3 linked regions of the Macaca fascicularis genome follow. The protein of the gene in region 1 binds, or shares a complex with, the protein of each later gene. Links are inferred from orthologs where the notes say so. Each region holds a gene or a part of one and is shown in the gene's direction. Other genes may lie near its edges. The genes, in order: COA1, NDUFAF1 and ECSIT.

Region 1 (4,499 bases):
AAAAAAAAAAATAATAGCTAACATTCACTGAGCGCCTACAAAGTGCCAGACACTATTCTAAGCGCTTTACATCCTCATAACAAACTTATGAGGTAAATGCTATTATTATCCACCTGACTTCTGAAATTTTCTTACCCCGGTACTCCCTGGTGTTAACTGGGCACTCAATTTGTAGAATAAAATAAAATTTAGTGCTGCCAAATTTGTCAGCTGAACGGGGCGGCATGGATTTCAGTGCTGGAGTGGGGGTCAGACGGCCCGGGGCTTTGTGTCCTTAGAGGCCAGCGGAAGCGCCACATACCTGCGAGAAATAACGTGAGCCGGTGCTTAAATTTCCTGGGTTAGTGCTACTGGACTGAATGCATTTGCAATAACCGGACGCAGAAAAAAAAAAAAAAAAGCGGGGACCAGGGGAGGCGAACCCCTTCCCAGCGCGAGTCCGAACGTCTGAGAAGCAGAAGCCACAAGTCCCGGCGACCTAAGTCCTGGATCCGCCGGCCCGAAGACCCGCGTTAGCATTTACAATCCGGTGTGAGCTGAAGCCTCCGGTTGCCCCGATTCGACGCTCTAGCCCTGCGAGCTGCAGACGCCGGAAGTCTCGACTGCTCCCCGCTGGCGCGCCGTACCGCGGTCATTTACCCGTGCTCCCCCCACGCCTGGAAGAACTGCTCACTCTCCACAGCGTGGTGGTTCTGTTGCTCACAGGTTAGTCTCCTGCGGCAGTAAGAGTCTCCGTCTTCCCCCGCCAGCGAGAAGCGTTTGTTCCTGCAATCCGGGCGGCCGCCTTCGCGCGCGGGGTGCTCTGCTGCTTGGAGAGTTCCCTCACGGGTCACATCGCGGAGGTTCGCGCCGGCTCCGGGTCGCGACCTCCCTGCGCTGCTTCTTTGGCTCCTGGTAACCCGCGCTGGCTCCGTCCGCTTGGAGTTAGGAGACTGTGTCGAGCTAACGTTGACTTTGTCCTGCAGTTTTTGCTGGGCATCCCCAACAGCACACTGTAAAGAGTTGGGGTCCTCTCGAAGAGTTGGGACTGGGTACTTTTGTTGGTAGTACTAAATTTCAACACCTGGGGAGTACGCTGCCCACATTATTGTAGGAAAGAATTATCTGGTTTAGTGGTTATAATACTTTTTGTCCCCGCCACACTTGAATGACAGAAAAACCCTACCAACAGGAGCTGACTACAAAAGTGAGTTTCTGTGTAGGGGACATTGGATGTATGTATCAGTGCCTGTCAGTCTGTATGTGTGTTTGGGGTGGATGCTGTGTAATTTTTAAAAATCTATGGAGATTCTGATAATTTGATAACCTGTTTCTCCAGTCTTCCCCTAATTCCTTCCCATTTTCCCCTGGGGGAAATGGTGCCTCACTTTTGGATAGAAGTAGCAACTCTTCGCTTACACTTGCACGTTTAAAACATATCTGATTGTGTTATTTCTGTCCTCAGAATCTTCCTGGACTTCCCGTTGCCTTCAGGATAATACACATTTCTTAGCCTAACTTAAGGGGCCTTCGGGGTCTTGATTCTGCTGAATTTTTCAGTCTTTGCTACTTTCATGGAAAACACACCTGCAGGTACACTCATATTATGCTCCCACCATGCCAGTTTACAGTAATTTAATAACTTTAGATACGGCAAAGTTTCATATGGTTTACCCAAGTTTTTATTTTTGTTTTAACATTTAGCCAAAATCGATTGAATTCATAATATTGCTAGGCACTGTTTTAAAAAACGGGATAAAATGAAAACAAAACAAAACAAAAGTCTTCAGTCCTTTAAAAAAATAAAACAACTTTCTGACACATAGTTCACCCACCATAGAATTCACCATTTAAAATGTAGCGGTGGCTCACGCCTGTAATCCCAGCACTTTGGGAGGCTGAGGTGGGCGGATCACGAGGTCAGGAGATCGAGACCATTCTGGCTAACACGGTGAAACCCCGTCTCCACTAAAAATACAAAAAATTAGCCGGGCGTGGTGGCTGGCGCCTGTAGTCTCAGCTACTCAGGAGGCTGAGGCAGGAGGATGGTATGAACCCGGGAGGCGGAGCTTGCGGTGAGCTGAGATCGCGCCGCTGCACTCCAGCCTGGGCGTCAGAGCTAGACTCCGTCTCAAAAAAAAAATAAAAAATAAAAAACAAAAAACCAAACCTAAAAGTAATTAGTACATTCACAAGGTTGTACAACCATCATCACAAAATATGCTGTAATCTTCTTCAACTTCATTAGTTGGTTTAATTTTATTAAGTCTATTTCAGACAGACTGCAGTAAGTTATTCTTGTATTCTTTTGTTCATGTTTAATGTGCTGCATTCAGTTTGTGAGAGCCATATTGGAACAATTTTCGAACATTTTCATCACTCCAAAAAGAAACCCTGTACTGATTCAGCAGGCTCACCTGACTTCCCCATCCCCACTCCCCATTCTAAGCCCTAAGCAACTATGAATTGACTGACTGTATATTTGACTGTTCTGGATTATTCATGTGAGTGAAATCATACAGCATGTGGTCTTTTTCAGCTGGCTTCTTTTACTTAACATTCATGTTCGTCTGTGTTGTATTTAATAGCATGTGTCAGTACTTCTTTAATTGCTGGTTAATCTTTTATTTTATAGGTATTACCACGATTTATTTTCCATTAGTTAGTGGACGTTTGGATTGTTTCCACCTTTTGGCTATTATGTATAATGCTGCTGTGAACATTCACCTACAGGTTTTTGTGTGGACATACCATGTTTTCATTTCTCTTGCATATGTGCCTAGGAGTGAAATGGCTGGGTCATATGGTATCTCTGTTTAACATTTTAAGAAACGGTCAGACTGTTTTCCAAAGCATCAGTGTGCATCTTTTTAACATTCTCACCAGTAGTGTATTAGGGTTTTGATTTCTCACTCCTTGCCAACACTTGTCATTATCTGTCTTTCTGATTCTGGCCATTCTAGTGGGTGTGAAGTGTGTGTCATCGTGTTTTCATTTTTTGTTTCGTTGACATGTAGTAATTGTACATATTTAGGGACTACAGAATGTTATTTTGATAAATGTATACAATGTGTAATGATCAAATGAGATAATTAGCATGTCCATCACCTCAAACATTCATCTTTTCTTTGTGTTGCAACCATTAAAAATCTCCTAACTTTTTGAAAATATTGTGGTTTCAAATCGCGTTTCCCTGATGGCTAATGATGTTGAGCATCTTTTCAAGTGCTTATTGCCCATTTATGTATCTTCTTTGGAGAAATGTCTGCTCAGATCCTTTGCCCATTTTTAAATTAGGTTCTTTTTTGTAATTGAGTTGCAAGAGTTCTTTATATATTCTAGATACAAGTCATTTATCAGATATGTGACAGTCTTTTAGATTATGCTACCGTTCTTTTAGATGAAAAGCACATGAGATTAACTTTTAGTAGCCTTGGAGACCTCCTTGTGGGTGTGTGATTGTAGTTTAGAGAGTGATGGTTTTCCGACAGCTACATGGGAGGCCAGGCCCAGGAAAAATGCTGTGAAAGAACCTGTGAGGAGTGTTTTAAGACTCGAAAAATGAAGCAAGGGGAAACTTTGTAATTTGCCATTGCGTATTGAGTTTTATCTGTCTTTATTGATTTTTAGGAGTTTCTTCATGCAGGAATATTAAGCCATTGACTGTTAGGTATGTGGCAGATATCTTCAATCTATTTAGTTAACTTTGTTTTATCTTTTTTACTATACTGTTGTTTTACATTTTTGTGTAGTCAGGACTTTTCCTCTAAAAGCCTTCTGGCCAGTAGTTTAGAATATTGTTCTTTAATTATAGGAGTTAGAGAAACTGACATAGTACTTCCCAGTTAGTGTGACATCTGAGTCCCTGGTGTTATGTTTAGCCTAATAGTGTTCATTGTTTCAGACATTGGTGCCTCCCTGTCTCTCTGCCTCGAAAAATATGCCATGATCTGCTTCAACTTTGTTCATTTAACTCTCTACTTTAAACAGACTCTAAGAAGTTATTCTTTTATTCTCTTGTTCATGTTTCATATACTGCATTAGATTTGTGAGAGCCATATTGGACAGTTGGTCACCAAATATTAGGTACTTTTTTCATACTAGCAGGTATTTATTTGAAGATTTAATGTATGCAGAGGTTGAGTGTAACTATTGTGTTCTGTATTGTTTGGGGCGTGTTGGAAAAATTAGTTTTATAAAATCCTGTTAACATTGTAATTTTTTAAAAATTTTATTGGTTAAAAGGCAGTAGTAGTTATATACATATGTGTGTGTGTGTGTGTATATATATATATATATATATATATTTTTTTTTTTTTTGAGATGGAGTTTCGCTTTGGTACCCAGACTGGAGTGCAATGGTGTGATCTCAGCTTACTGCAACCTCTGCCTCCTGGGTTCAAGTGATTCTCCTGCCCCAGCCTCCTGAGTAGCTGGGATTACAGGAGGCTGCCACCACTCCCAGCTAATTTTTGTGTTTTTAGTAGAGACGGGGTTTCACCATGTTGACTAGGTTGGTC
Region 2 (4,722 bases), on another chromosome or scaffold:
AAGTGCTGGGATTACAGGCGTGAGTCATCGCGCCTGGCCGATAACTTATATTTTTCAAACTAGAAAACAAGTAGGTGCAGGATGGGCCATGGAGACAGCCCGCATTAAAGGTTGTGGGAAGATAATAGAAGAGTCAGTGATGGGGGCAGAAAGGGAAGGTTTGAGGAAGCAACTGTAGAGTCTAGAGAAGCCAAGCAGAATTTGAGGAAGAGGAGGCGGCCCAGAAACTAGTGATGGAGAAAACATGGAAAGGGCTATTGTTTTGGCGAGCTCCTTTGGAACCTTAGAGAACAAAGGTGTTACCGAAGTACATGCTCTCAAATTCACACTGAGCACTAAATTCCCGCCGCTATGGGACATTCTGCTTAAGGAAAAACAGCGCAGTCTGGACCCAAGAAAGCTCACAGCGTGGCGGAGGAAGTGAGAAGTGAGTGAATAATTAAGCTACAGTGTTGATTCTGTCTTCCCTGGCAGCAAGAAAAAAAACCAAACAAACAATGTTTAAGTGCTTTGGCCTGGCACGGTGGCTTACGCCTGTAATACCAGCACTTTGGGAGGCCGAGGTGGGTGGATCATGAGGTCAGGAGTTCAAGACCAGCCTGGCCAACATGGCGAAACCCTGTCTTTACTAAAAATACAAAAATTAGCCGGGTGTGGTGGCACACACCTGTAATCCCAGCTACTCGGGAGGCTGAGGCAGGAGAACTGTTCCAACCCAGGAGTCGGAGGTTGCAGATCGCGCCACTGCACTCCAGCCTGGGCAACAGAGTGAGGCTCCACCGTCTCAAAAAAAAAAAAAAAAAAAAAAAAAAAGAAAGAAAAAAAAAGAAAAAAGAAAGTGCTTTACCAGAGGTGTGCACAAGGTACAAACAGATGGCCTGAGGAACTGGCGACCCTGTGGGGCAGGACTGGGGAAGGGCTGGTAGGAGGTGCTGCTGTCCAGGTGCATGGTGGGTCCTCAAGAATTCATGGGGGCAATTCCAGTAGAACCGGCCTCTTGAGGCCTCAGGTAGTTCTTGTGGAGACTGAGGGGACAGATAAGGAAAGAAGGGATACAGGCGCCAAGTGGGGGCGCAGGTGCGTTAGCAATAACTGGGTTCTATAGGAGGCGGGGCGCGGTGGCTCACGCCTGTAATCTCAGCACTTTGGGAGGCTGAGGCGGGTGGATCACGAGGTCAGGTGATCGAGATCATCCTGGCCAACATGGTGAAACCCCGCCTCTACTAAAAATAAAAAAATTAGCCGGGCTTGATGGCGTACACCTGTAATCCCAACTACTCGGGAGGTTGAGGCAGGAGAATCGCTCGAACCCGGGAGGCGGAAGTTGTAGTGAGCCGAGACGGTGCCACTGCACTCAGCCTAGCGACAGAGACTCCGTCTCAAAAAAAAAAAAGACGCAGAGATAGAGTTGCCGCCCGAAAGGATACAGAAAGGAGAGGCGAAAAACTTATCCGAATCCTCACTACTTCCTTACAACTGGCGACCAAGTGGACCAAAAACCTCCAAAAACCTCAGTTGGCTGGACTACCGGGTCCTTGCTCTCCTTCCTGGGCTTCTGTACCCGGCCGGAACTTTAGTGTTCTGACGCCTTGTTTGGCATCGGAAGGGAAAAACAGATGGACCTATAAGTGAAAAGTGGCTTCTGGTTGGAAGCCACACCATAGGCTCGGGGAGGTAAGCGGTGGTAGGTCGGCGTTTGATGTGTCCCGGGTGTGGGGAGGCGACAGAGCCCTGGCAGTTGAGGGTTGCGGGGCCTCCCCACCGCGGCGAAGGTCTAGCCTTCGGAGGCCAGGCCGTGAGTGCCGGAGGTAAACGCCAAGGCGGAAGAGTTTTGCCACTCACTACCTCAGTGACCTCGGGTAAATTAGTCTTGAAACGTCGGTTTCCTCGTCTCCATAATTGAAATAATAATAGTTCCTCTCTGAGGATTGTTGTGAGCCGTCAGTGAAACCCTTAGAGCAGTTTCTGGCACATGGTAAGCCGTGGATATCTTTACTAATTCGACTCACTTCTAGCTGCGTGGATTATGTTGTCAAAACCCACCGTCAACCTCAGGGCGGTATTGTTCAGTTAATAGGTTAGATTTTCTATTTACTGGTAGAAAAAAAAAATGAAACAAAGCATTTATAATTAAAGTTATATTACTAGAGAAATAACACTACGGAGGGTTTGCAAAATATTTTATGAGCTATCATTTGTTTCTAAAATTTCTGTATGTGTAGAGGTAAATAATTTTGTAACTTAAATGTGTAAATCATTTAAGTGCAACCGGCGCGGGGGAATTTAAATATTATCCATAATTGCAGGATCTCAGATCAACTGTTAATTTTTCCTGGTTCCTTTACGTTTATAATACATGTGAAAACATACTGTTTACATGATTTTGATTTATTAGCAAACCTTATTGATAATGTCGGCTGGGCGCGGTGGCTCACGCCTGTAATCCCAGCACTTTGGGAGGCCAAGGTGGGCGGATCACTTGAGGTCAGGAGTTCGAGACCAGCTTGGCCAACATGGTGAAACCCTGTCTCTACTAAAAATACAAAAATTAGCTGGGAGTGGTGGCGCACACCTGTAATTCCAGCGGCTCAGGCAAGAGAATTGCTTGAAACCAGGAGGTGGAGGTTACAGTGAGCCGAGATCGCGCAACTGCACTCCAACTTGGGTGACAAAGCTGGACTCTGTCTTAAAAAAAAAAAAAAGCTGGTCGTGGTGGTGGGCACCTGTAATCTCAGCTACTCGGGAAGCAGAGGCAGGAGAAGCACTTGAACCCGGGAGGCAGAGGTTGCAGTGAGCCAAGATCGTGCCATTGCACTCCAGCCTGGGTGACAGAGCCAGACTCCATCTCAAAAAAAAAAAAAAAAAAAGGTCGGGCGTGGTGGCTGATGCCTGTAATCCCAGCACTTTGGGAGGCCCACATGGGCGCATCACCTGAGGTCAGGAGTTCAAGACCAGTCTGGCCAACACGGCGAAACCTCATCTCTACTGAAAAAAAAACAAAAAACAAAAATTAAAATTAGCCAGGCATGGTGGCGCCGGTCTGTAATCCCTGCTACTCTGGAGGCTGAGACAAGAGAATTGCTTGAACCCAGGAGGCGGAGATTGTGGTGAGCCAAGATATCCAGCCTGGTGACAGAGCAAGACTCTGTCTCAAAAAAAAAAAAAAAAAAAATGGATAATGTCATTTTACCTATTGGTGTCTGTATCCTATAGAAAGGAAATGTCTACCTGACTTCATAGGATTTGTGTGTGGATGGCATGAGATAATATATATCAGGGTGATTTGAAAGTATTAGGAGTGGGCTGGGCGCTATGGCTCACGCCTGTAATCCCAGCACTTTGGGAGGCCAAGGCAGGCGGATCACGTGGTCAGGAGATTGAGACCATCCTGGCTAACACGGTGAAACCCCGTCTCTACTAAAAATACAAAAAAGAAAAAAAAAAATTAGCCAGGTGTGGTGTTGGGTACCTGTAGTCTCAGCTACTTGGGAGGCTGAGGCAGGAGAATGGCGTGAACCCGGGAGGTGGAGCTTCAGTGAGCTGAGATCGCGCCACCACACTCCAGCCTGGGTTACAGAGTGAGACTCTGTCTCAAAAAAAAAAAAAAAAAAAAAAAAGTATTGGGAGTAGTATTCATCAGGTGCAGTGGCTCATGCCTGTAATCCCAGGTACTCCAGAGGCTGAGGCAGGAGGATCACTTGAACCCAGGAGCTGGAGACCAGTCTGAGCAACCTAGCAAGACCTCATCTCTATCTTTTTTTTTTTTTTAGATGGAGTTTTGCTCTTGTGGTCCAGGCTGGAGTGCAATGGCGTGATCTTGGCTCACCACAACCTCCACCTCCTGGGTTCATGCGATTCTCCTGCCTCAGCCTCCTGAGTAGCTGGGATTACAGTCATGCACCACCACACCCGGCTAATTTTGTATTTTTAGTAGAGATGGGGTTTCTCCATGTTGGTCAAGCTGGCCTCGAACTCCTGACCTTGTCATCCACCCGCCTTGGCCTCCCAAAGTGTCGGGATTACAGGCATAAGCCACTGCGCCTGGTCTTACAATTTTTTATTTTTATTTATTTATTTATTTGTTTATTTTTTAGACAGAGTCTTGCTCTGTCACCCAGGCTGGAGTGCAGTGACCTGATCTTGGCTCACTGCAACCTCCCACTCCTGGGTTCAAGCGATTCTCCTGCTTCAGCCTCCCAAGTAGCTGGGATTATAGGTGCCTGCCACCATGCTATAGGTACCTGCCACCACACCCAGCTAATTTTTGTATATGTATTTTTTTGAGACGGAGTTTCACTTTTGTTGCCCAGGCTGGAGTGCGATGGCGCAGTCTTGGCTCATTGCAGCCTCTGCCTCCCAGGTTCAAGTGATTCTCCTGCCTCTGCCCTCCGAGTAGGTGGGGTTACAGGTGCCCAGCACCATTCCCAGCTAATTTTTTTTTTTTTTTTTTTTTTTTTTGAGGTGAAGTCTTACTCTGTCACCCAGGCTGGAGTGCAGTGGCACGATCTCCGCTCACTGCAACCTCTGCCTCCTGGGTTCAAGCAATTCTCATGCCTAGGCCTCCCAAGTAGCTGGGATTACAGGCATGGGCCACCATTCCCAGCTAATTGTTTGTATTTTCTGTAGGGGTTTCACCATGTTGGTCAGGCTGGTCTTGAACTCCTGACCTCAGGTGGTCTGCCTGCCTTGGCCTCCCAAAGTGTTGGGATTACAGCCATGAGC
Region 3 (3,862 bases), on another chromosome or scaffold:
GCAAAACTCCATCTCAAAAAAAAAAAAAAAATTTGTCTAGTGTTTTTGAATTATGTTCAGGTATAGAATTTTAAAAGATACAAAAAGGTATTCCTTCCCACCCTGTCCTCCACAGAGGTGAAAGCTATCATTTGCTTCTAGTGTCTCCTTCCTGGGATATTCTGTATATGTGAAGTTATTTTTCTTCTTGTAATTCACAAGCACTGAGCACTTACTATTTGCCAGGGACTGTTCTACACATTTTACAACCACCCAAAGTTAGGTTTATGCCCATAATCCTAGTGCTTTGGGAGGCCAAGGCAGGCGGATCACCTGAGGCCAGGAGTTTGAGACCAGCCAGGCCAACATAGCAAAACCCTATCTCTACTAAAAATACAAAAAATTAGCCGGGCGTGGTGGCAGGTGCCTGTAGTCCCAGCTACTCGGGAGGCTGAGGCAGGAGAATAGCTTGAACCCAGGAGGCGGAGGCTATAGTGAGTCAAGATCACGCCACTGCACTCCAGCCTGAGCAACAAGAGAAAAACTCCATCTCAAAAATAAAAAAATTTAAAAAAATTAGCGGGGCATAGTGGTGTACACCCTTAGACCAAGCTACTTGGGAAACTGAGGTGGGAAGATCACTTGAGCCCAGGAGTTCAGGCCTACAGTGAACTATGATCGTGCCACCGTACTCCAACATGGATGACAGAGAGGGAGACCCCATCTCTATAAAAGAAAAAAAAAGCCGGGCGCGGTGGCTCAAGCCTGTAATCCCAGCACTTTGGGAGGCCGAGACGGGTGGATCACAAGGTCAGGAGATCGAGACCATCCTGGCTAACACGGTGAAACCCCGTCTCTACTAAAAAAATACAAAAAAATTAGCCGGGCGAGGTGGCGGGCGCCTGTAGTCCCAGCTACTCGGGAGGCTGAGGCAGGAGAATGGCGGGAACCCGGGAGGCGGAGCTTGCAGTGAGCTGAGATCGCACCACTGCACTCCAGCCTGGGCGACAGAGCGAGACTCCGTCTCAAAAAAAACAAAAAAATAATAATAATTGGAATTAAGTGCTATTATCATCCCTATTGTGCATCTGAAAAAACTGAGGCACACAGGTACAGTGACTTGGCCGAGGTCACATAGCTTGTGACAGAGTCAGGATTTTGACACATGTGGGCTGGCTCCAGGGTGGTTCCCTCAGGGTGAGCATCCTAAAGGTTGGTGGCTATTGCCAAATGGGACAGAGGGACAAGGGGACAGGTTGGAGGACCATGTACCAGATCCAGGAAAGGTGTCCTAAATTCGCTGATATCCCCCTTTCTGTTTCTCTGTCTCCAGTTCCTCTGTAGGGGATTGGGGGTTACAAGATTACATCCCTACTTTCCCTTGCAGGTTCCTTTGCCCAAAGACTCAACAGGTGCAGCAGATCCCCCCCAGCCCCACATCGTAGGTAAGTCCGCAAGCATAGGGGCGGCCAGGTCTCTAACCTGACCCAGGCCCTGCTGGACCTAAGCTGGGCTCCCTGAGCCTTTGGGCAGAGTCCCTCACAGGGCACAGGGCATGTATATCTCCACACCAGGAATCCAGAGTCCCGATCAGCAGGCTGCCCTGGCCCGCCACAACCCTGCCCGGCCCATCTTTGTCGAGGGCCCCTTCTCCCTGTGGCTCCGAAACAAGTGTGTGTATTACCACATCCTCAGAGCTGACTTGCTGCCCCCGGAGGAGAGGGTGAGGGCTTAAAGCAAAGCATGTGTCGGGCCTGGGGAGTGGGGCTGGCACCACCCTGAGGGTGCATGGGAGAGGCTGGGGGAGGGAGACTACGAGAGCCCCGGCCTCTGACCCTCCTGCCTGCACTCCCCTCTTTGGAGTAGGAAGTGGAAGAGACCCCGGAGGAGTGGAACCTCTATTACCCGATGCAGCTGGACCTGGAGTATTCGAGGAGTGGCTGGGATGACTACGAGTTTGACATCAATGAAGGTAGAAACTGGGCCTGGTGCGGTGGGTGTGCCTGTAATCTCAGCCCTCCGACAGGCTGAGGTGGGAGGATCACTTGAGCCTGGGAGCTGAGGTTGCAGTGAATTATGATTGAGCCACTGCACTCTGGCCTGCGTGATAGACCCTGTCTCTTAAAAAAAAAGAAAAAAAAAAAAAAGGCAAAAACCTGGACAGGCAGGACTTCCAAACATTCCAAACACCACCCAGGATGAGGGGCGGCCTCTGGGGTCAAGGAGTAGGCCCAGGCTGAGATGCAGTCCACTTACCCCCTCATCCTCCCGCCACACACTCTCATTTGCCTCAGGGGCTCCAGACCTCAGGCCACTCAGCCCTGTCGGCCCTTGGTCATTCCCTCCCTCCACACCTCTGTGCTGGCTACTGGGTGTCACCAGGGCAAACCTAGTCCCTTGAGTCAGTAAGGGAACAGGCAAATTACACTTTGGGGAGCTTAGGAGAGGAACGTGCCTTGAGTGGGAGGTCAGGAGGGCTTCCTAGCAGAATCTAGAAGACCCAGGAGGCATCGCTTGGGTGAAGTGTGGAGTGGGCAGCCTAGGCAGCAGGGCTAGCTTGTGCAAAGGTTTGGAGGCACAAGAAAGTGGAAGGAAGCCGGGTGCAGTGGCTCAGGCCTGTAATCCCAGCACTTTGGGAGGCTGAGACGGGTGGATCATTTGAGGTCAGGAATTTGAGACCAGTCTGGCCAACATAGTGAAACCCCATCTCTACTAAAAATTTAAAAATTAGCCGGGCGTGGTGCTGTGCGCCTGTAGTCCCAGCTCCTCTGGAGGCCAAGGCAGGAGAATCACTTGAACCTGGGAGGCGGAAGTTGCAGTGAGCCGAGATCTCGCCACTGCACTCCGGCCTGGGCGACACAGCGAGACTCCATCTCAAACAAAAAAGAAAGTGGAAGGGAGTGTAAAATACCTCAAAAAGGTGTAGGCATGGGTTAGCCGCTGCAGCCCCCACTGTGCAAATCCTGAGGGTGTATCTCTTCCAACAGTGGAGGAAGGCCCTGTCTTCGCCATGTGCATGGCGGGTGCCCATGACCAGGCGACGCTGGCCAAGTGGATCCAGGGCCTGCAGGAGACCAATCCAACTCTGGCCCAGATCCCCGTGGTCTTCCGCCTGACCCGGGCCACCGGGGAGCTCCACACATCCTCTGCAGGGCTGGAGGAACCGCCCCCGCCCGAGGACCACGAGGAAGACGACAGCCGGCAGCGACAGCAGCAGGGCCAGAGCTGAGTCTGAGCGGGCGTGAGGGCACAGGCTGTGGCCCGAGGCGGCGGTGGACTGAAGGCATGAGATGCCCTTTGAGTGTACAGCAAATAAATGTTTTCCTGCTTGGGGCTCCCTTCCCTCCTCTCTGGCAGTGTAGCATTCCCTCCCCAGGATCTCAGGCTGCCAGCGATGGGCAGGCGAGACCCCTCCAGGATCTGCAGGCTCTTCTGGTTCTCCCCCTTCAAGCGAAGTTAGAAAGTTTAATCAAAAAGGGGTGGGGGCGCTGTTGGTTGTGCACATGCGCAGTTTCCGTTCTTAGTCTCCTTTTGGCGCCCCAGGGCAGCGAGAGACCGTGAGAAATTTCTCGGCGGCGCTGAAGATGCGCGCCACTTCCGGTCCGGCTCCTAACAACGGGGGAGGCTGGTAACCAAGGTGGGGGGGATGGCGGAGCGGGCGCCGGAGCCCGAGGCGGAGGCGGAGGCTGAGGCGGGCGCGGGCGGGGAGGCAGCAGCCGAGGAGGGCGCAGCGGGCCGAAAGGCGCGGGGCCGGCCGCGACTCACGGAGTCGGACCGGGCCCGGCGACGGCTCGAGTCCCGGAAGAAGTACGACGTGCGGCGCGTGTACCTGGGCGAGGCGCACGGGCCCTGGGTGGACCTGCGGCGCCGCAGCGGCTGGAGC

The links.
Region 2: COA1 (region 1) and NDUFAF1 share a complex: the UniProt entries of both Homo sapiens proteins name them as parts of the mitochondrial complex. The link is inferred for Macaca fascicularis from reciprocal best matches to the Homo sapiens genes COA1 and NDUFAF1.
Region 3: COA1 (region 1) and ECSIT share a complex: the UniProt entries of both Homo sapiens proteins name them as parts of the mitochondrial complex. The link is inferred for Macaca fascicularis from reciprocal best matches to the Homo sapiens genes COA1 and ECSIT.

Annotation. Positions count from the first base shown.
Region 1 is NC_088377.1:86,524,130-86,528,628, forward strand, and holds the start of COA1 (cytochrome c oxidase assembly factor 1 homolog), read left to right. Parts: upstream 1-1,505; 5' UTR 1,506-1,553; coding exon 1,554-1,572; intron 1,573-4,499. UniProt on the Homo sapiens protein: Component of the MITRAC (mitochondrial translation regulation assembly intermediate of cytochrome c oxidase complex) complex, that regulates cytochrome c oxidase assembly.
Region 2 is NC_088381.1:17,948,997-17,953,718, reverse strand, and holds the start of NDUFAF1 (complex I intermediate-associated protein 30, mitochondrial), read left to right. Parts: upstream 1-1,618; 5' UTR 1,619-1,674; exon of another isoform or gene 1,675-1,975; intron 1,976-4,722. UniProt on the Homo sapiens protein: As part of the MCIA complex, involved in the assembly of the mitochondrial complex I.
Region 3 is NC_088393.1:12,072,678-12,076,539, reverse strand, and holds the end of ECSIT (evolutionarily conserved signaling intermediate in Toll pathway, mitochondrial), read left to right. Parts: intron 1-1,366; coding exon 1,367-1,424; intron 1,425-1,553; coding exon 1,554-1,702; intron 1,703-1,845; coding exon 1,846-1,951; intron 1,952-2,966; coding exon 2,967-3,208; 3' UTR 3,209-3,312; downstream 3,313-3,862. Other genes in the region: ZNF653 (zinc finger protein 653), read left to right, coding at 3,626-3,862.